Linked DNA regions of Rattus norvegicus. The protein of the gene in region 1 interacts with the protein of each later gene in a biochemical or structural test. Links are inferred from orthologs where the notes say so. Each region holds a gene or a part of one and is shown on either strand. Other genes may lie near its edges.

Evidence for each region.
Region 2: of the proteins of Coil (region 1) and Vrk1, one has a biochemical effect on the other in vitro, tested with the Homo sapiens proteins (2 studies listed by BioGRID and IntAct, with this or other methods). The link is inferred for Rattus norvegicus from reciprocal best matches to the Homo sapiens genes COIL and VRK1.

Annotation. Positions count from the first base shown.
Region 1 is NC_086028.1:74,283,298-74,294,125, reverse strand, and holds the start of Coil (coilin), read right to left. Parts: upstream 7,275-10,828; coding exon 7,030-7,274; intron 55-7,029; coding exon 1-54. UniProt on the Homo sapiens protein: Component of nuclear coiled bodies, also known as Cajal bodies or CBs, which are involved in the modification and assembly of nucleoplasmic snRNPs.
Region 2 is NC_086024.1:130,728,080-130,738,296, reverse strand, and holds part of Vrk1 (serine/threonine-protein kinase VRK1), read right to left. Parts: intron 9,624-10,217; coding exon 9,491-9,623; intron 8,939-9,490; coding exon 8,818-8,938; intron 7,991-8,817; coding exon 7,932-7,990; intron 5,070-7,931; coding exon 4,891-5,069; intron 1-4,890. UniProt on the Homo sapiens protein: Serine/threonine kinase involved in the regulation of key cellular processes including the cell cycle, nuclear condensation, transcription regulation, and DNA damage response.

The DNA.
Region 1 (10,828 bases):
CCGCCATTGCTTACTATCAAAGCCTCAGGGAGTCCTTGGTCTTCTAACTTAACCCTGTTGGAAGAGGAGAGAAGCCTCAGATGAGCAAGTGCTAAGCACAGGTCTGACAAGCACAGCCGAGGATGAGACCCCACAAAACCACCCGCACAGCACAGCCCTCTTCCGCCTGGCTGGTTTGTTTTCTCTTTGTTGTTCTGGGACAGGGTCTCGCGATTGTCACCTTAGGTGGCCTGGAACTCACTATGGACACCAGGCTGGCCTCCGACTCACAGACATCCACCCTCTCTTCTTCCTGAGTGCTGGGATTAAAGGTGTGTGTCGTCATGCCTGGCTCACTGTGGCTAGTTTTATAAACTTAATGGATAGTGAGTGGGGCCCACACATTTTTTTTTCTCTAACTTACACATTACCAACAAACTAGGTTATCTTTCATTTCTGAGGTCCCAAAATACGACTCAAACAGGTAACTTGCCAAGACCCGCAGCTGACAAGTGATAGGAAGGATAGTCTGACCTTGGCTTGCCTAACTTCACAACTCACCATCTTTCTTTACAATATAATTTTTTTTAATTATTGAGAATTTCATACATACAAAGTTTACTTCAATCACACATACAAACACCAGCTTCCACCTTTCTCTCAGCTGCCCCCAACTTCGTGCCCCATTTTCTTAACTCCCAATCTTCTTTTTTTTTTTTTTTCCTTTCTTTTTTTTTGGAGCTGGGGACCGAACCCCAGGGCCTTGCGCTTCCTAGGCAAGGGCTCTACCACTGAGCTAAATCCCCAACCCAACTCCCAATTGTCTTAATATGCGTGTTAGTCATCCTAAAAGGTGAACATATTCACCACCCCATCTTGTGTTAGAATGAGTAAAAGCAACCTTATTAAAAAATGGGGTTCAGGGGTTGGGGATTTAGCTCAGTGGTAGAGCGCTTGCCTAGGAAGCGCAAGGCCCTGGGGTTCGGTCCCCAGCTCCGAAAAAAAGAACCAAAAAAAAAAGGGGGTTCAGAGCTAAACAAAGAATTCACAACTGAGGAATGCTGAATGGCTGAGAAACACCTAAAGAAGCGTTCAACATCTTTAGTCATAAGGGAAATGCAAATCAAAACAACCCTGAGATTTCACCTCACACCAGTGAGAATGGCTAAGATCAAAAACTCAGGTGACAGCAAATGCTGGCGAGGATGTGGAGAAAGAGGAACACTCCTCCATTGTTGGTGGGATTGCAGACTGGTACAACCATTCTGGAAATCAGTCTGGAGGTTCCTCAGAAAATTGGACATTGAACTACCCGAGAATCCAGTTATACCTCTCTTGGGCATATACCCAAAAGATGCCCCAACATATAAAAAAGACACGTGCTCCACTATGTTCATAGCAGCCTTATTTATAATAGCCAGAAGCTGGAAAGAACCCAGATGCCCTTCAACAGAGGAATGGATACAGAAAATGTGGTACATCTACACAATGGAATATTACTCAGCTATCAAAAACAATGCCTTTATGAAATTCACAGGCAAATGGTTGGAACTGGAAAATATCATCCTGAGTGAGGTAACCCAATCACAGAAAAACACACATGGTATGCACTCATTGATAAGTGGCTATTAGCCCAAATGCTTGAATTACCCTAGATGCATAGAACACATGAAACTCAAGACGGGGGGTTGGGGATTTAGCTCAGTGGTAGAGCGTTTGCCTAGGAAGCGCAAGGCCCTGGGTTCGATCCCCAGCTCCGAAAAAAAAAAAGAACCAAAAAAAAAAAAGAAACTCAAGACGGATGATCAAAATGTGAATGCTTCACTCCTTCTTTAAAAGGGGAACAAGAATACCCTTGGCAGGGAATAGAGAGGCAAAGATTAAAACAGAGACAGAAGGAACACCCATTCAGAGCCTGCCCCACATGTGGCCCATACATATACAGCCACCCAATTAGACAAGATGGATGAAGCAAAGAAGTGAAGGCCGACAGGAGCCTGATGTAGATCTCTCCTGAGAGACACAGCCAGAATACAGCAAATACATAGGCGAATGCCATCATTAAATCACTGAACTGAGAACGGGACCCCCGTTGAAGGAATCAGAGAAAGGACTGGAAGAGCTTGAAGGGGCTCGAGACCTCATATGAACAACAATGCCAAGCAACCAGAGCTTCCAGGGACTAAGCCACTACCCAAAGACTATACATGGACTGACCCTGGACTCTGACCTCATAGGTAGCAATGAATAGCCTAGTAAGGGCACCAGTGGAAGGGGAAGCCCTTGGTCCTGCTAAGACTGAGCCCCCAGTGAACGTGATTGTTGTGGGGAGGGCGGCAATGGGGGGAGGATGGGGAGGGGAACACTCATAAAGAAGGGGAGGGGGAGGGGTTAGGGGGATGTTGGCCCGGAAACCGGGAAAGGGAATAACACTCGAAATGTAAATAAGAAATACTCAAGTTAATAAAAAAAAAATTAAAAAAAAAAAAGAATGAGTAAAAGCACACAATGAATCTGAGTATTAGGTAAGGAAAATGTGCTACACGTATACATAATGGAATACTACTTGGCTGTAAAGATGGGACATAATTTCCCTTAGTATGGAGGCAACTGGAGGGCAGCATGCTACAGGGAGACAAATGCCACACATGTTCACTTCCATGAAGACTTAAAAATAAAGGATCACGGGGCTGGAGAAGTGGCTCAGGGGTTAAGAGCACCCGACTAGTCTTCCAGAGGTCCTGAGTTCAATTCCCAGCAACCACATGGTGGCTCACAACCATCTGTAAAGAGATCTGATGCCCTCTTCTGGTGTGTCTGAAGACAGCTACAGTGTACTTATATAGAATAAATGAATAAATCTTTAAAAAAAATAAAGGATCACAAAGAAGTAGGAAGTAGAATAGTAGTTATCAGAAGCTATGGTTGTGGGGGGAAAGACACTCCTGTACACTCTGATAGAAAGACTAGACTCTAATGCTCCAGTGGTGGACAGTATAATTAACTGTCCTCAGAGAGCTTCAAGAGAGGGTTTTCTCTCTCTTTCTTTCTTCCTTCCTTCCTCTTCTCCTTCCTTTCTTTCTCCTTCCTTCTTTGGAAGACACTAGTAGCTTTGGCTGGCTTGACTCACAGATCTACCTGTGTCTGCTACCCAAGTGCTAAGATTAAAGGTGAGTCTGAGACAGGGCTTTCAATGTCCCCAAATAAAAAACCAGTATGAGGAGACAGATATGCCAATCAATTCTGATCTGATACATTCCATCCTGAAATGACAGACTGTACTGACAAATATGTATAACTGTATGCTAATAAAGCACTTAAAATAATAAACTAAAATGCCTTCCTATTCCTGTTCGGGCTCTCAATTGTTGCACCTACCCATAGGGTCCATGACGGTTTGTGATGCTTACATTATGTCAACCTGGCAAGACTATGGGGCCCTGAGTTCAGATGCTGTGCCCCTGGCTTTTCTAAAGTGTTTCCGGGTGAGCTTCCCACTGAGGTCCCGAGACTGAGTGAATTAGGGCAACTTGATTTTGAGAGCCTTCTTCGCCCAGGCTGCTGTGACTCTGCTTCCCATGACTCTGCTTATTTGTATGTTTTTGTGTTTTGTTTTGTTTTGTTTCTAGACAGGGTTTCTCTGTGTAGTCCTGGCTGTCCTGGAACTCACTATGTAGACCAGGTTGGCCTGGAGATCAGAAATTTACTTGCTTCTGCCTCCTGAGTACTGGGATCAAAGGTGTGTGCCACCACTGCCTGATGACTCTACTTCTTTGCCAGCAATGAAGAAGGGTGTGTGTGTGTGTGTGTGTGTGTGTGTGTGTGTGTGAGAGAGAGAGAGAGAGAGAGAGAGACACCTGTGGGAACAGAAGAGACTGTAGGATCCCCTAGAGCTGAACATAAAGGTGGTTGTGAATCACTGTGTGTGGGTGCTAGGATCCAAACTCAAGTCCCCTACAGAACAGGCAGAGCTCTGGACTGCTGAACCTCAGCCTCCTCCTCAATATGTCACTAGCCATGGTCCATGGTCCACCATGCTCACTCCTCCATCCTTGCATGGTGAGAAGGTGAGCTTAGCTCTGACTCAGGAAACTAACATGCTCATCCGGTGAAATGTCTGCTAAAACCACGGTGACACCGAGAAGATTCACGTGGTTCCTGTACAGGGATGACACATAAACGTGACCCATCGCCCACTCCCAGGCTCAGGGAACATCAGAGAGAAGAGGGAAGGGAATAATACAAGAGCTGACACAGCCACTGCACTTATGGACTCGCCTTCGGGAGTGGCTATCTGCAGAGGACCTACATAGGACTAGGCCTCTCAACAGTTCACTGGGATGTGAGAAGGGTCTATGAGCCCCCACCCTTCCCTGACAACTATTAAAAATAAACAGAACTAAGTATTGCTTTTCTCAGTGCCTCCATCAATAGAGTGCTTGCTGGGCAAGCGCGAGAACCTAGCTTTGGAGCCCTAGTGTGCTGATGTGTATCTGTAATCCTAGCACTGGGAAAGTAGAGACAGACAGCAATACAGACCCTTGGAGCTTGCTAGCCAGGCCAGCCTAACCTAGCTCCAGGTTCAGTGAGAGACCCTATCTCAGAAAACTAAGGTGAGTGAGAAAGGCACAAGCCATCAACCTCTGGCCTCCACACATAAATTTACACACAGGCCTGCACACCCGAGGCTATGTGCACACACACATTTAAGTTGTAGACATATATACATACAATGAATCTGTGGGGGTGGGGGGACAAACTATAAGGAGGAAGAAACAAAGGAATCAAAAAAACTTTCACATTTAGTTGCTCGTTTTATTTTCTTAAAATAATTTCTTTTCCTTGGTACAGTTGTTTTGACTGCATGTATGTCTGTGTACAGTACCCATGATGGCCAGAAGAGAGCATCAGATTCCCCCTGGGACTATAGTAAGCTATCAGGAGGGACCTGAACTCTGAACCAGGGTCATCCAAAAGAGCAGTCAGTGTTCTTTTTTTTTTTTCTTTTCTTTTTTTTTTTTTTTCGGAGCTGGGGACCGAACCCAGGGCCTTGTGCTTGCTAGGCAAGTGCTCTACCACTGAGCTAAATCCCCAACCCCGCAGTCAGTGTTCTTAACCACTGAGCAATCTTACCATCCTTCCCATGGAGTCTTTTCCTATGGTCTCCACCATTTACCACCAGGGCTAGATGCAATCCACCTCTTCATCACCCTGGACCGAATCCAGGGCCTTAGGCACCGTAGCTAGGAAAGCACTCATCACTTACTGTGGGCCTTCTCAGGCCCACAGAGGTAACTTCTTTCCAGACAGCTTTCACGTTTTTTTTTTTAAACATCATTAGCAACATTATAAGAATGTAATTCCTGGGTGATGCATTAATTTAAGCATTAACTATAGCCAGCAGCAACTAATTAAGTCATTAGGCAGGGAACTGTTCAGGATGTAAACTTAACAGGTGGTGACACAGCCCTTACTCTTGTTGAAATAGCCATTAAAGTACACTGAGAATGGATTTCTTTCTGTCAGTAGAAAGGGAAATGAGCCTTGGTCTGTCTAGAGATAGAAGCAGGCAGACCTCTATAGCTCAAGGCCAGCCTGGTCTACACTGAGAGAACTTGCCTCAAAAAATGAAAGGGGAGAGAGGAGGGGAAGGGAAGGGAAAGAAGGGGAGGGGAGAAGAGGGGAGGGGAAGAGAGAAGGGGGGAGGAGAGGTTTGAAATTTGTACTATTTCAAGTTGTTACCTGAAGCAGAACGACTAACAAATCATAGTATTCCTGATTTAAGAGATACAAAGATGTGGTCATTGTTTCTATTTATTTCCCTGATGTTCTGAAGGAATCTTGCAAACGTGACACTCTCTACAGAAAGCAACATTAAACAAAGACGAGCAAGAAACAGACTGGTTTATAATTCTGAATCTGATTCACCATAGCTGAAGCTTAAAGTGATTGGGTGGGGTGGAGGGGCCATAGATGAAATCAGCCAAGTATGAATGTCAACTGGGATGACTGATGGCATCATCCCGCCATCTGACATAACTAAGCCACTTGCCAACGAGTCACACTACAGCCACTCCTGGATACTCACTTCAGTGTCAACTTTTAAAATTTCTTGTTGTTTTGAGACAGGGTTTCTCTACCTGGCCCTCACTATGTGTAGACGAGACTGGCTTCAAATTCAGAGATCTGCCTGCCATCTGCCTCCTGAGAGTTAGGATTGAAGGTGTATGCTACCGTGTTGTATATATCCTCACCCTGCCCCCCAATTTGTTTCTCTGTGTAGCCCTGGCTGTTCCGGAACTCACTCTGCAGACCAGACTGGCCTCAAACTCACAGAGATCCTCCTGCCTCTGCCTCCGACTTCTGAGAGTAAAGGTGTGCACCACTACTGCCCCGCTTTTACTTTTGTTCCTTTTTAAACAGGTCTCACATATGCCAGGTTGACCTGTGTAGCCAAGGGTACTTTGAACTTCTGAGCCTGCTGCCTGTCTTCACTTCCTCAGTGCTCGGATTCCTATTTAGACGGCTGGGAATCAAACCTAAGTCTTTGAAATAGGCAAGCAGTCAAGCAACTGAAATACACACTCAGCCTCTGTATCCCTATTCACAACTGAAATGCATTCCAATACCAACTCGAAGGGGCCCAGTGACACCTGAATGAGACACAGAATGACATCCACCAGAAGTGGACACGTTGCCAAGGCGCTAAGGTGGGACATTCCATACATTACTAAGAAAACATTTCTGTCTTCCTGCCTGCTTTGGTTTCCTACCTCTGACACCAAGTGCAGCCCAGAGAAGGTGGGTCTGTGGCACATGCACCATGCACACAGCATGCAGAGCCTGGCTGAGCATCGGAACTGCTCCAAGTCTAGTCCCCCTGTAATGAGAAGCGTCCTGGGGAAGGATGCTCCATCCCTGGCTGGACCACTCAGGCTCTCTCGCACGTGCCCTTCTGCAGCTAGCTCGCCACCCCGGCTCCTTGATCCAAAGGTCCAGCAAGCGCGCCCCCGAGCCGCGCCCCCTCCCGCCCCGCGCGCTCCCGCGCACCTGAGGCAGTCGTTGTCTCTCACCAGGCGCGCGCTCTCGGAAGGGGGCAGAAGCCCCCCTTCCAGATAGAGGCCCAGGAGCGCCCCGGAACTGAAGCCAAAGCGCTGGCGGATGAGACTGATGAGATCTGTGACAACTCGGCATCTGTTCAGGTCAACTAGAAGCCAGAAGACCGTGCAGTGTGGAGTGGCCGGCGGCGGGTAGTCAAATTGAAGTCGTACCCTAACCGTCTCGGAGGCTGCCATCTTGCTCATGCTCAACGGAAGCCGAGAGGTTCCACGGGGCTACGAAGCGGCGTGCTCGGGCAGGCCCGCCCCCGGCAGCAGCTAGCGTGCGCCGCCTAGGGGCGCAAGTAGGTCTGCAGGCTCCCAGTGCGAGCTCCCCAGTCTTTCCCAGAACTGATGATGAGGTCTGAATATATGCAAACGGCTGTTAGGATAGCTTCTGGGACATCGGTTCGTGTAATTAAACAGAAACAAACCAAAAATCTTTAAAATTAGTAAGCAACAAGCCTGACCCCAAACCCTGTAATAGAGGATTTTTATTTTTCTACCAAAAAAGGTCAGGAAAGCACCAAAATTCACATGCGTGTGTCCAGGCAGAAAATGAGAGGCTCGTGCTACAAGACCTTACGTTCTCATAAGACTGTTTAAAACAAACACACACGTCCTTCCTTGGGGCTTCAGGGGGTTCAGTGTGTGCTTTGTCCGTGATCAGATCATGTGTTTTCCTTATCTTGAGGCAGAACAATATCCTGAAAGTGTTGAAGGCACAAGTAGAGAATAAAAAAGCTAAATAAATACGAAGCTTAAAAAAAAAAAGATTAAAAGCGAGGCTTGTTCTTTGAAAGCAATAAAAATCAAGAAGCTTGAGGTGGGAATATAACACAGTTGACAGTGATTTCCTAGCATGCACTTGACCCTGGGCTCCAACCCCACCACAAAGATATAAATTAAGAGGATTTTTTAAAAAATTTAATGTTAGGGGTTGGGGATTTAGCTCAATGGTAGAGTGCTTGCCTAGCAAGCACAAAGTCCTGGGTTCAGAATGCAATACCCCACAGCTACACTCCAGCCCTTTGTTACCGTTACACTTATTAGTGGTGCACAGCTACTCAAAATAACATATAAAATGGCATCCACTAGTGATACGATAATTAAACCTAGAAACGGACACAGATTTATCTATTAAACAAATAGATTTGTTTTTAAAGCATCTTAGTTGGGTACAGAGATGGCTCAGGAGTGAAGGGCAGGGGCTTCGCTTCCAGAAGACGCAGATTCACTTCCCAGCACACACATGGCAGCTCGCAACTGTCTAACTCCAGGTCTAGGGGAATCCAACGGCCTCACACGGATATAATTGCAGGCAAAACATTAATGCACATAGAATAAAACTGAATTTAAGAGACGTGTTTTAGGGGTTGGGGATTTAGCTCAGTGGTAGAGCGCTTACCTAGCAAGGGCAAGGCCCTGGGTTCGGTCCCCAGCTCCGGAAAAAAAAAGAAAAAAAAAAAAAGAGAGAGAGACGTGTTTTTAGCATCCTAGAACCCCAAAGCACAGATTTGTCTTTCCTCCTGTTGAAAACAAGGAGCTTTGGGGCCAGGGAGATGTCTCCCAGATTAATGATGTGAAACTTCTAGATCCTTTGAAAAGTTAGTTATGTCAGATGGTGTTTTTCTGGGGACACCAGAGGCAAGGCTGCGTTAAGTTGAAGCTGCTGCAAGGAACCACATGAACACTTTTTCTTTCTTTCTTTTCTTTTTTTTTTTTTTCTTTTTTCCAGAGTTGAGGACCGAACACCCAGGGCCTTGAGCTTGCTAGGCAAGCACTCTACCACTAAGCTAAATCCCCAAACCCAATGAACACTTTTTCTTTTTCCAGATTTATTTCTTTTTGATAAGTAGCCTGTCCCTGTCCTCAGTCACACCAGAAGAGGGCATCCGATTCCATTAAAGATGTTTGTGAGCCAACATGTCACGGCTGGGAATTGAACTCAGACCTCTGAAAGAGCAGTTAGGACTCACAACCACTGAGCCATCTATCTCTCCAGCCCTCAAAAGCAGTTCTTGGGCCCGTTTCTCTCAATGACTGCGTTACCAGAAGTTGAGCTCAGCAAACTCTATGTAAGACAAACCAATACACGCCTGTCATTAGCAAAGACTACATAGCAAGCCAGACAGATGCTCAGCGCTCATCTCCCACTGTCTGTGGGATCATATTGATGCTCCATCACGGGTCCTTTAAAAGTCAGCTATAGCAAAACATCCTTTCGCCTATGCCTGCTTCAGGAAAACAGTCTTTCACCTGTGTCCCCAGAAAAACACCATCTGACATAACTAACTTTTCAAAGGATCTAGAAGTTTCCACTTCAGTGGTTTGTTTATGGAGATTGGAGGAATGTTCATCTCTTTTCCACTGATGCCACAACAAATCACGTCCCCATAAATTCATGGCTCTATTAGCCACACATGGCTTTAAGTTACCTAGTTCCCCTTCTGGCCCCATACACCTGACCCATTTTGCACTTTATTTTAGCTGAGATCAAGTTTCAGTCCTTAGGAGCTAAATATTATTTCCTGAAGAGGCCAATCTAGATGCCAAGATTTTGGTGAAATTATTGGTTTTTCTTTTTTTTAAGATTTATTTATTATGAGTACACTGTAGCTGTCTTCAGACACACCAGAAGAGGGCATCAGATCTCATTACAGATGGTTGTGAGCCACCTTGTGGTTGCTGGGAATTGAACTCAGGACCTCTGGAAGAGCAGTCGGTGCTCTTAACCACTGAGCCATCTCTCCAGCCTGGGGAAATTATTGTTAATCTGCTCCTGCAACTATTAAACCTTCCATTTCAATTTCATTGATTTGTATTTTCTGCTCAGTCAGGTCTCTGATCCTTTATTTATAGCAGTTTTCCAAAATATTCCTTAGTCTCTCCTGAATTTGGAATTGTCGGTTTATGTACTGAAGCTGCTCTGACCTTGAACACATTGAGCATAGAGAATGTGGGGCTGTGCTACCAGACAGGCATGAGGACTGGTAAGGCTGAGGGAGCTCAGACCCTGGGAATCTGAGATTTGAGAACTGCCAGAGCAGGGCCATTTCCTATTGTCTCTGTCCCTGCTCTGGACCACAAACCAGGACACTCAACCCAGAGGACCCGGAGGGGCACCCATCTGTAGCACAGCATGGGAGTTCTTCTCCATGCTAATAGGGCATCCAGATAGGTTTAACCTGTCAGCCACTGACTTTCCCTTCCTGGGTATTCTCACTCACTCCCTGTTGTTGTGAAAATATACAAAATAAAACGCTGTCTTTTATCCCACTCTAGGTCTGGCACCGCAGTGCCCCAAGTTATCTGCTGGATATCTTCTCAGTCAGCAAAGCCTTCACCTGCTTTGCTCCATCCCATATCACACTGCTGAAGGCCTCTCTCTGAGCCAGCAATCTCTCTACCTATCTAGTTCTTTGGTGGCCCAGACCAGCCACCCCACACTCCATTACACTTAAATCTATGCATGAAAGAACACACAATACAATAACCTTTGACCCAATTGATAAGATATAACTGCCCACCTAAACATACAAAGCCCAGTATCATCCATCCCTTAAGAACATTAATAACAACCTGTAAATACACAGAGAGGAATCTTAACATCACCTTGCATGTTGTCTACCAGCTACTCTCTCTCTCCCATCTCCTCCTCTTCCTTCAAGCTCTTCTCCTGCCCATCCTTCCTTCTCATCCAATGACAGGTCTCCTTTTATCCTGTACCTGCCCTCATCTGTATTTTACAA
Region 2 (10,217 bases), on another chromosome or scaffold:
TGGCACAGCTCATAGACGAGATGACTAGAAGTAACTGGGGGAGAATGGCACAGGGACACAAACGCGGGGTGCCACAGAACCTGCAGACCAGCAGACTCAGTTAAAATGCACTGCGTGGAAACAGTGGAGAGATACAGGAAAGCCAAAGAGAGTGCGCACTCTGTGGTTGTTGCCCGGGGACAAGGAGCTTACCCACTGCAGCATGTAGCAGAAGCGGGACAAGTGCGTGTGCGCGTTATAGCCACTTTCACATCCCTCTCCCTCTGACCTACGCTTGTCCAGGGTGGGGGCTCAGTCTTGCCCTTTCCTAACTGCACCAGAAAGCACCCCAGTCCACAAAGTATGCACAGCACAGAGCAGGCTCCACCTGTACCATCCACGGCTTGTTCTGGAGCATAGCTGTGTCCCTTTGGCTCAGCCCCTCAAGGGCCCAGAGAAGGAGCTGTTAGAGGCCCTCCTGGCATTTATGAAAAGATCAGTTAGTCAACAGATGAGCAGAAACCCCTAGCCAGAGCCTATAGGCACCCCAGCTGCACGAGTTTCCTAGTAAAGCAGCAACTCAGACCCAGAAAGCTCCAGGTGCCCATGTGAGGACAGCATGTCTGAGGACAGCACGTTTGAGGACAGCACACGCTACCCTGCAGAGAAGGCTCTCCAGGACAAGTTTCAGCACAATGAGCAGACTTGACAACAGTTAAACTCAAGATGCTTCTAGAGTCAGAGACCTTAGCTCTAGAAGTTAAGTCTGCATTCTCTACCATGCTGGAACTAACGGGATACTCTCCTCGGAGGACACTCTTGCAGCACTAACATCAAAAACTTAACATGCTTTATGGACGATTCAAGGGAAAAGGCAAAACAGGCAATGAGTTATACCTTAATTATCTGTAAAATCACTAGGAGATTTCCTTTAAGTGCCATGAGCTTCTCTGAGGAAAACTACATTATAGCTATAGAATGGTAGTTGCAAGACCCTAGGCAAATCAGTTTGCCCTTTTTTGAGACTCCCTACCTGCGCACACACACACACACACACACACACACACACACACACACACACACGCATGCACGCACGCACGCACGCGTCATCATTTGCAGGGTTGGGTGGATGGATATGTGGGTACATGTGTGGGTACCTGTGTGGGTACATGTGTGGGTACATGTGTGGACAGAAAACAAGAGGAGGCCAATAATACTGGAGCTGGCACTCTACTTCACAATTACATGGATACCGAAGATCGAGCTCAGGTCATTGGTTTGCAAGGCCAGGGGAAGGAACCCTCACTTCAGAGCTGTCAGCCTGACTTTCAGTGTAACAAAGTGTCTCATGTGGATGCCACAATGTCCACCTGAAAGCGGATAGAAGGTGGCTCTGTAAGGTGCTTCTGAAGCAGAAGGGATAGCCTGAACCTTGAAGGGTTACTTACCAGCAGTATCAAGTCCTCTGAACCCTCAAGGAAGAAGAAAACCCTGAGGCACCCACTGCAGATGTGATAACATGGTCACACTTTAGAAGTCTTTCTCCCTGAAGATCAGTAAAACCAAACCTTTCCCTTCCATATGGTGGTAGGAACCACCCCAGGCCTTGTGAGGACAGTTCCTTTTTTTTTTTCCTTTTCTTTTTTTCAGAGCTGGGGACCCAGGGCCTTGTGCTTGCTAGGCAAGCGCTCTACCACTGAGCCAAATCCCCAACCCCGTGAGGACAGTTCCTTACAAAACACATAAGCCACTTTAGAATTACTAGTAAAAACAGTTCCCTTGGCCCACAAAACCCCAACTCACTAAACACACAAACAGCAGACATAGAAACCAGGAGTCCTGCACCCATACCAATCAACAGATTCAAAGGAAAATGTACCACAAACTCATTGCTGTGGTGTATATGTGATACATATGTTTTAACATACATTATGTTGTATAGATTATTTCATACCAATTATCATCTTGTCTTTTGCTGCAAATCAGCGTTTAGCAAACCAGGACCATTTGAAATCTATCACATATGCACTCGTCAGTAAAATCTAAACCAGGCTTCATCTTTATCTATCCAATAGCCAAAAGCTGAACTCAACTTCAAGGCTGGCAGCTCAGTTCTTAAGACGGTGGCAAGAGAACGGAATGAAAACACTGCTGTTTTCTGAAGGAAGGGAGCAGGAGAGTTACGCGTAGGCACACAGCACCGATACCGCCCTCACTCTGATGCTTGCATGTGTTACGACGGTGCTCAGCATCCAGGCTCCATTTTGTCTTGTGACAGACAAGCTTATAAGCAAGGAAGAATGCACTATTATTTCCACAGAGAATGTGTTTTTAAATTCATCCCTTATCAATGCAAAGGCATGCTGAGCATCCTAAACCTTGGCCATGATTAAAGACCACTGAGTTCACTGACTGAGGACATCTGAGAAGACGCCCTTGTGTTGCTTCCACAGATCAATTCTCTAAGAGCTCAGGCACTGACACTGCACCAAATGGTCTCCTGTGCCTTCCTGAACATGAAGATCAAACAGGGTGTGTGTGCCTCACTGGCACATACAAAAACTGGTTGTGGAGCCAAAACGTCTACTTAAAACCCCAAATGCTCAATACTGAATACTGGATAGGCTTACTTCTAAACAGGCTCCCATCTCCACGGATCTAGTCAGACCCCCGCCTCTGATGCACAGTAGGCCTCACCCGCAGCTGCATGGCAGAAGCACCTCAGAAGCCCATGCACCTGAGGCTGAGGCCCGCCCCATGGTTTACACTGGTGTAGCTGGTGTGAGCAGTGCAGTCCACAGCAGGAAAGCGCCAGAGTTCTGAGGTAATCCAACACCAGTCAGTACCAGGACAATCTTGAAATTCTGCATTACATGACCTGAGGTATTCCATTAAAAGGACCTCCAGACCAGACAGAAGAAGTGGAGAAGTCATGACACCAGAAGTCCCCATGTGGCCCCCAAGCTCTCACATCTCTGGTGACAGGCACTGTATGGAACCAGTGAGCAGGTAATAGCGTTCCAACTGGAGTGAGGAGCAGAACCTAAGGAGAACTATGGGGTGGGGCAGGGAGACACTAAACTCATGCACACACAATGCCCGTGCTCAGAGCTGTGATAAAACAGCAACCTCTACACACAGACGTAAGAGCGACCATGCCAGGAAAACAAGAAGAAACTCCCTGGCTTCAGTAAGTCACAGATGGGAGGCAGGCTCTTGGGCCTTACCCATCCATTCCTGCTCATCTACTGTCTTGGGAGAAGGGGAGTCACTGTCCTCAGCTGTGTCCCTGCTGATCCCACCAGGCTCCAATCCACAGCCGCAGACCTATGGCCACCCAGACCGCCCTGACTAAACTTAGTGCATCCCAGAACATATGGCACAAAGGTGAGAGAGTCGCCTGGAGGAATGAAGAAGCAAGGAGAGAAGAGCGGTCAGCATGCACTGTGTGCATATATTACGGTGCTGAAAACTAACTTAGTAATGAAAACAGATTAAGAGACCCAAAGAAAGTCACCAATTCCTCTAAACTGTGAAAGAGAAGTCACAATGAGGGAGGTGAGTTATTAAGCACATAGATCAGTGTCATGAATAGAGTTAGACGGGCAAAAAGAACTGCTATGCTGTGTCAGAGAAGGAAAGAGAAGCTGATTCCAGTTTCTCAGCAAAGACCCTGAGGGGAGATGAGGAGGAAGCACCTGTGTGCTTACAAAGACTAACTTCAAGTTCCAGAATGGGTGTCATGTCTTCAGGCAGGGTTCACTAAGCACCAAGCAGATATGAAGTTTAAACTAAACAAACAACACACACTCTCTCTCACATTCTGTGATGAAAAGCAGAATGCAGGGGTAGAATGAAAAGCAAGAGGCCTCAAATGTAGGGGGAAACCCAGAAATCAGGTAACAAACAAAATTACCCAAACTGGAAGCTGAGGGACAGCTCAGCAGTGACTTCGACCAAATCACTCTTTCAGTGAAGCAAATAACACCATTTGTGAGCTCTACCATTTATAACTACCATTTATAGCTCTCCTCAAAAAAAAAAAAAAAAAAAAGGAACTGAGCTCATACTCTAAAAGATGAGTCCAAGAGAAAGGACACAGAAACAATAAAAAGTAGGAAGAGAAATGCAAGGCTAGGGAGCGCTAACCACTAAGAACACAGCACACAGAGAAACAAGAGGACAGCTGCCCTCTTAACAACTTGAGAGGTGGGCTAAGGAACGGAGACATTCTCTCCTCTTGTGGGATAATGGATACAGACTCTAAGTGTTCACACACAAACGAGTCAAATTGTGTCAGAAAATCAGGTTGGGGACTTCTGAGAGATCTAAAACCTGAAGAAATGGGCCCAGATAAGCATTTAGAAACAGCTGCTGAAGCAGGACCCAGGAAGCACAGAGCCCCACTCAGGAAGGGAGGTGTCCTGTTCCGAGCCTCACTACACTAGGAATACTTCTCTGCAACTCTTCAGCAGTGATCCCCAATCAGAACAAGAGAGCCAGCACATGGTAGTGGTGAGCACCTTTACTCCCAGTCTGGAGGCAGAGGCAGGTGGAGCTCTGAGTGTGAGGCCAGCCTGAGAGAAACCCTGTCCCCACAAAGCAAAAAGGAAAAAAGAAAAAGTACTGGCCAGGTAGTAAGAGTGTGGGTAGAGTGTTGGACTGTACATTTAAAACATCTTTGAAAAGAAGACACCCCCTCTACAGTGGCCCACCTAGGACAATGCCAATGGCAGAAGTGTCATTGCCCTACCGAGACATCTGACCTCAGGTCACAGGTGAGGCCATTTCAGATACTGACTAACCTGCTCCTGCCTCTTTGCCCAGCTAAGGCCTCGCCTACGTGTACTGCCTGTTAGGTGGGGTCAAGGAGACCCAAAGCAGCGTCCTTCCTTCCACACCCAGACCCACCTTTGAAGCTGGTTTTGTGTTCACACTTCCGTTCTCCACAGCACTAAAATCCAGTTTGCCGTCATCCTTACTTCCTATAGCTTTTAGTCCTTGCAGAAGGATGTCACGTAGGTTTTGGTAAAGCGGCTTTTCAGTGTAGTCCAGTAGTTTCACAGTCTCCATGTACTTAGCGATCTCACCTAAAATAACAACATGGTCATTTTACTACATTAGGTCATGAACCCGCTATGCCCGTCTCACTCCTAAGAAGACAGTCACAGCCAACACAGAACTACCAGTGTGTACCATGTTGAAATAGAATCCGGGCTCTCATTCAGAGCTCAATGCAAAGCATGCCCGCAAGTCCGGGACTTTAGGTAAGTAAAGTAAACAACATATTTTGAGTTACAATGTAAAAGACTTTTCTGCAACCCTAAGAGACATAAGAGAACATAAATTAAATTTGGACACACACAAAATGTATATATAAAAGGAATTCAGAATGTAGTACACCTGAGTTGCAATGACACCATAAGTTAGCAGTCTTGAAAGAGAACATGCTATGAAGTGAGAAACAGAACCCGGAGAGCAGACTCAAGAACAGCAAGACAGGTCCACAGAACATGAGAAGAAACTTTACTGACAGGACCGGCCCCACTTACAAGCATCCACCTTGATGGAGCATCCACTGTTCTCCCATCATTAGTTCCCTGACATGCAACCATTGCCTCAGACCCCACCCAACTCCTGTGCTGGGAGTCTCCCTGGTCTGTCACTGAAAATGCTGCCCTCCTCCTCCCAGGCCAGGCCAGCATCTCATCAGTCTTCCTCCCACTCCACATCCAGCGCAGAATGTTCTCTCCCCAGGCAGGACCCATCACAGACACACATGTAAGCACTAGCTTAACTATTTAAGTGCCACAGTGTGCCCAGGCACTATCCTGAACAGTTGGTGGGGAGGTTGGGGGAAGAGGGGTGTTGAATTGCCAAACATCCACTATCTTAACTGGATAAAATGGAATCTAAAATACCCAAGACAATATGATCAAAACATACTGCATAAAGTTATGAAGCATACAAAAATAATAAAATTCTTTTAAAAAATATAAGAATATATAAAAAATATGGAACAAATATCAGTGTGTCTGACAAAAAGAACAAAGTTCCTGCTTTACAGGAGAGAACAGCATCCACCTTTGCCTCCATCTACACAGAACAGAGCAGCCAAGTATGTTTCAGCTGTACAGAAGGCAAGACAGCAAGGCAAGGGCATCAAAGCGCCTTAAGGAGCAAACAGCTCAGCTGCACTTGTCTCACAAAATGGTCTTGGTAACCAGACATATACTCCTAGCTTTTAGGAAGCTCAGGTAGGAAGAGCACAAGTTCAAGGCCAGCTAGGGCTACACGGAAAAATCAAGTACTGGGAGGGAGGGAAGGAGGGAGGGAGGGAGGGAGGGGAAAGGGAGAGGGGGGAGGGGACAGCAGAGCAAATTCCTACGGAGCCTACAAAGCTGCTAAAGCTAGTATATAGCTACGGCACAGCACAGAACACAGGGTAAACAGAACAGAGGGTAAATACATAAAGATCTGCCTTATTTTTAGATTCTGTTAAAAACTAGAAATGAAATGTTCAAACCAGAGCAGTTAACATAAAAAAAGCATCAATTACCCAATGTGACTGTGCAAAATTTCTGCAGAGACCAAAATACAACCAGAATTTAAGGAGGGATTTAATGGAAGAATTGCCACAGTGTGCTGGAGGATTCGGTATTGCAAAGGCAGTGGCTCTCAGAACTCAAACACAAAGCACTCTAAGCTCAGAGCCCAGCACACATGAGAGAGAGTGTGAAGCTGACATAACGGCACTAGAGCTCCAACAGGAACGCAGTGAGGAACCAGGTCAGAGCTGGGGAGAGGCACAGCAGTAGGAGCCCTGGCTACTTCCCCACGGATGTGGGCTCCAACCAACACCCACGAAGTGACTCACAACCATCTGAAACTCCTGTTCCAGGGGACCAAACACCCTCTACTGGCTTCTGTAGGAACTAGGCACACATGTGGGGTATAGACATACATGCAGGAAAAACACCCCACACATAAGTTTTAAAAAATTCTTTAGTTTAAAAAGAAAAAAAAAAAAAAAAGACCAAGTTGGGATTAAAACCAGCAACACTCAAGGACTTGAGGCTCTGGACACTGCTGGTCAAAGTCTTGAGGAGATGATGCCAGGTCAGCTGACTGAGCCCTTCTCACACAGTGCACGTGAGCTCTGGCAGCCTGTGGGAAGCTGGCGCTGTGCGGAGGGCAAGGTCTAGACGAGCAGCAGAGTATGTGAGTAATGGACACTGGAAAGCAGGCGCCACACAGACACACAGCAGGAGTCTGGGGGTCCTGGGGCCAGGATTGGGGCCAGGATGGATGGTGACAGAAGAGCACATTGCCATGTGCTTCCCCACTTCAGCCCTCGGCAGTCTTCCCTCAACCAGGAACCAGACACACTTCATGTCTCTAGAAGGGGAGGCCATTGGCATCCTTCTCCTATTTCAAGCTGTAGACTCTAAAAGTAAAAGCCAATGGCCTCACGATAACCAAAACGAGCTCACCCCAACTCCCTCTGAGATCGTCCTCCCAGTCTCCACACAGCTCGCTTCATTACCGCCTTCCTTCAGCTGCTACAGTAGCCCCTTAGCAAGGCTGTCCTTGGCCTCTCTGATCAACATTTACATTCTCCCCCTGCTCCCTGTGCCTTCTCCACATTCCCAACTCTATTTTCCTATTTTCTTACTCTGCACAGATCTACAGTATAATGTGCTAACAAAAATCCCTGATACACCCTGAGGGAGGGGTCTGGTGCAGCCTGCACAGACAGTACTCCGGCCGGTGCATAATACAACCTCCATAGACACTGCCTAAGTGAAAGCCAAGGGCAACTGCATAAAGCTCTGAGTGCACTGCACCTCCAACAGCAGCAGTCCTGAAACACCCAAACTCACACACAGGCTGAAGGCTTTTTCCTCGCAGAAAACAAAAACCATACAAAGGACTACGGAAGCCTTCCTTACCTGGCTTATTCCTCTCAGGAAAGCATTTCTCCATCAAAGCTGCGACATTGTCTCTGTATCTGCAGAGGAAGGAAGGAGTCCTTAGTTATGTTGTGGTCCCCAAGAGCCTTCAATAATAGGACACATCTCAGGAGGCAGTGCGTCTTAGGGGAACAGCAAAGTTCAAACAGACATGCTATCTAACCTGCACCTTCTAACTTACATCACTTCCAGGTGTGCTAACCCGGGCAGGAGGACTACTCAACAAGGCACTGCCTATGAAATAAAATAAAATAAAACAAAATAAAATAAAACAAAACATAATATAGAGAATAAAACTCTAGAGACACTATCAAGAAATGCTAACAAAACCCTGTCTGTGCCTCTCTCACCACATGGCAGGCAGGAGAGCTGGCCCCGGGATCATGAGAGTGGGAGAACTGGCCCTGTCCCTCACTGGCTGCAACACTCAGTAGAGTGGGCCCCGCATCTCTCCTGGGCAGCAGGGTAGAGGTGGCCCTGGTAGCAGCCCAGATCTAGGGCTTTGAATCAGCACACCCACAGGCGGGCCGGTCCTACAGATTGAAAACTAGATGATCTCCATGACACAAGAAGCAACAGGATACCCCAGAAGAATCCCAGTGAGGGTCCAGAATTGAGAAGTCAGAGGCCTCCCATTTGCAGCAAATGAGTGTAGACAAAGGGGTACAATGTGGCACACATTATGACACACTACAGCTTCCACAAGATTGTTTTCTCTGTTGAGGGGCCATGGGTGGAAGGTGGGTATGAGGGGAAGGAGAGATTAGTAGGATTGGGGTGCATGATTAAAATTCACAAAAAAATGTTTAAAAAAATCTTTTGTCCCATCACCACTCAACCCAAAACAATGTAAGTTGTTCCTTGCCTAATTTTGGACTGTCTGACGTAGTTGGGGTCTTTCAAGTTATCCTCCCAAGGAAGACAGCCGCTGAGCCACTGGATCATGCAGTAACCAAGTATTTCCAAATCACCACGTCGAGATGGGGCTGCAAAGAGAACAGGAGAAAGCACAGTGAAAGAGCTTTCCAGAAAAACATCAAGATAGAGCAGTCCCCTCAGGTCAGAAACGTCCGCCTGCATATAATAAAAGCACTGAACAACGGGCTGAACGAAACGAATCTTTATCTCTAAGTCATAACTCACTTAAAACCCAAACTGCTAACTGAGGGTTTGAAACTGCTCCTACTGGTCTAGGAGGTAAAGTCTGAAGACATCTCACACACACCCAGTTGTCTTGGGGAGACACGAAGACACCGACAGACACTGTCAAAATGTCCTTATAAAAACAAAAGCCACACAGAAACTGGACACTAGAGAACAAAGCAGCACTGAGCTAAGCTGTAAGGCCAGAGGCATTCATTCATTCATTCATCCATCCATTCACAGGGCCCTCAGGTGCAGGAGCTGAACCCCCGCCCTCCTCCTCCACACCACTCTTCCAGTACTCTCTATCAGTCTGTGTGTTTACTTAGCATGGCTCTGCAGAAATTCAGACAGAAACATCAGCACTGTGGAGGCACACAGGCCACTGGACGTACCCACGCCATTGTGAGCATCGATGCTGGTGAACTCCAGTGTGCCGTCGTGGCACCTTTTGGGATCTTCCTTGTACTCTTTATGAACTCCATCTGGGCAGTACCGATAAGCAAGTCCATAGTCAACCAAATACACCTATAAATTTCCAAGCACCGATTAGAGACGAGAATCAATGCACGTGAATTACTAGAAAGTACCGAAATAAAATACACTTGCTTGGACGTAGGTTCACCTACTGGGGTCAACAGCAGCTCTCCAAACTGGCCAGATCTAAGCTGAGCACTGCACAAGTCCTGAGCCTCCCCGCCTGCTCCCGCAGTGCTGGGGACCACACCTAAAGCTTCACCCGAGCCAAGCAAGAGCTCTGTTGCGGCTGAGCCGTATCTCAGCAACTCTTACTTGGGAAAATCTTACTCTGTCTGCAGCACTAGAGGTCTAACAGGACCTTCCTCTACCTCTAAGCTAGTCCCAACCTTCCGCCCAAGCACTCTTTACTTTAATAAATGCTAAAGAACCACAAAGCTGCCGTGCCTGAATGTTAGCTCACTGTGCTTTCTCAGGCAAGCATGTGCGAAAGTAATTAATCCTGTCTCCTTGGAAAGGCTTACAGATGCTGTTTCTCTTACAGAGTCTAGAACAAAACTATCATAAAATGTAAATTTTCAAGACTCTCCACAAAGAAAAGGGTCATGAGTACTGTTAGTACACGATACAACAGCTGGCTTCTCC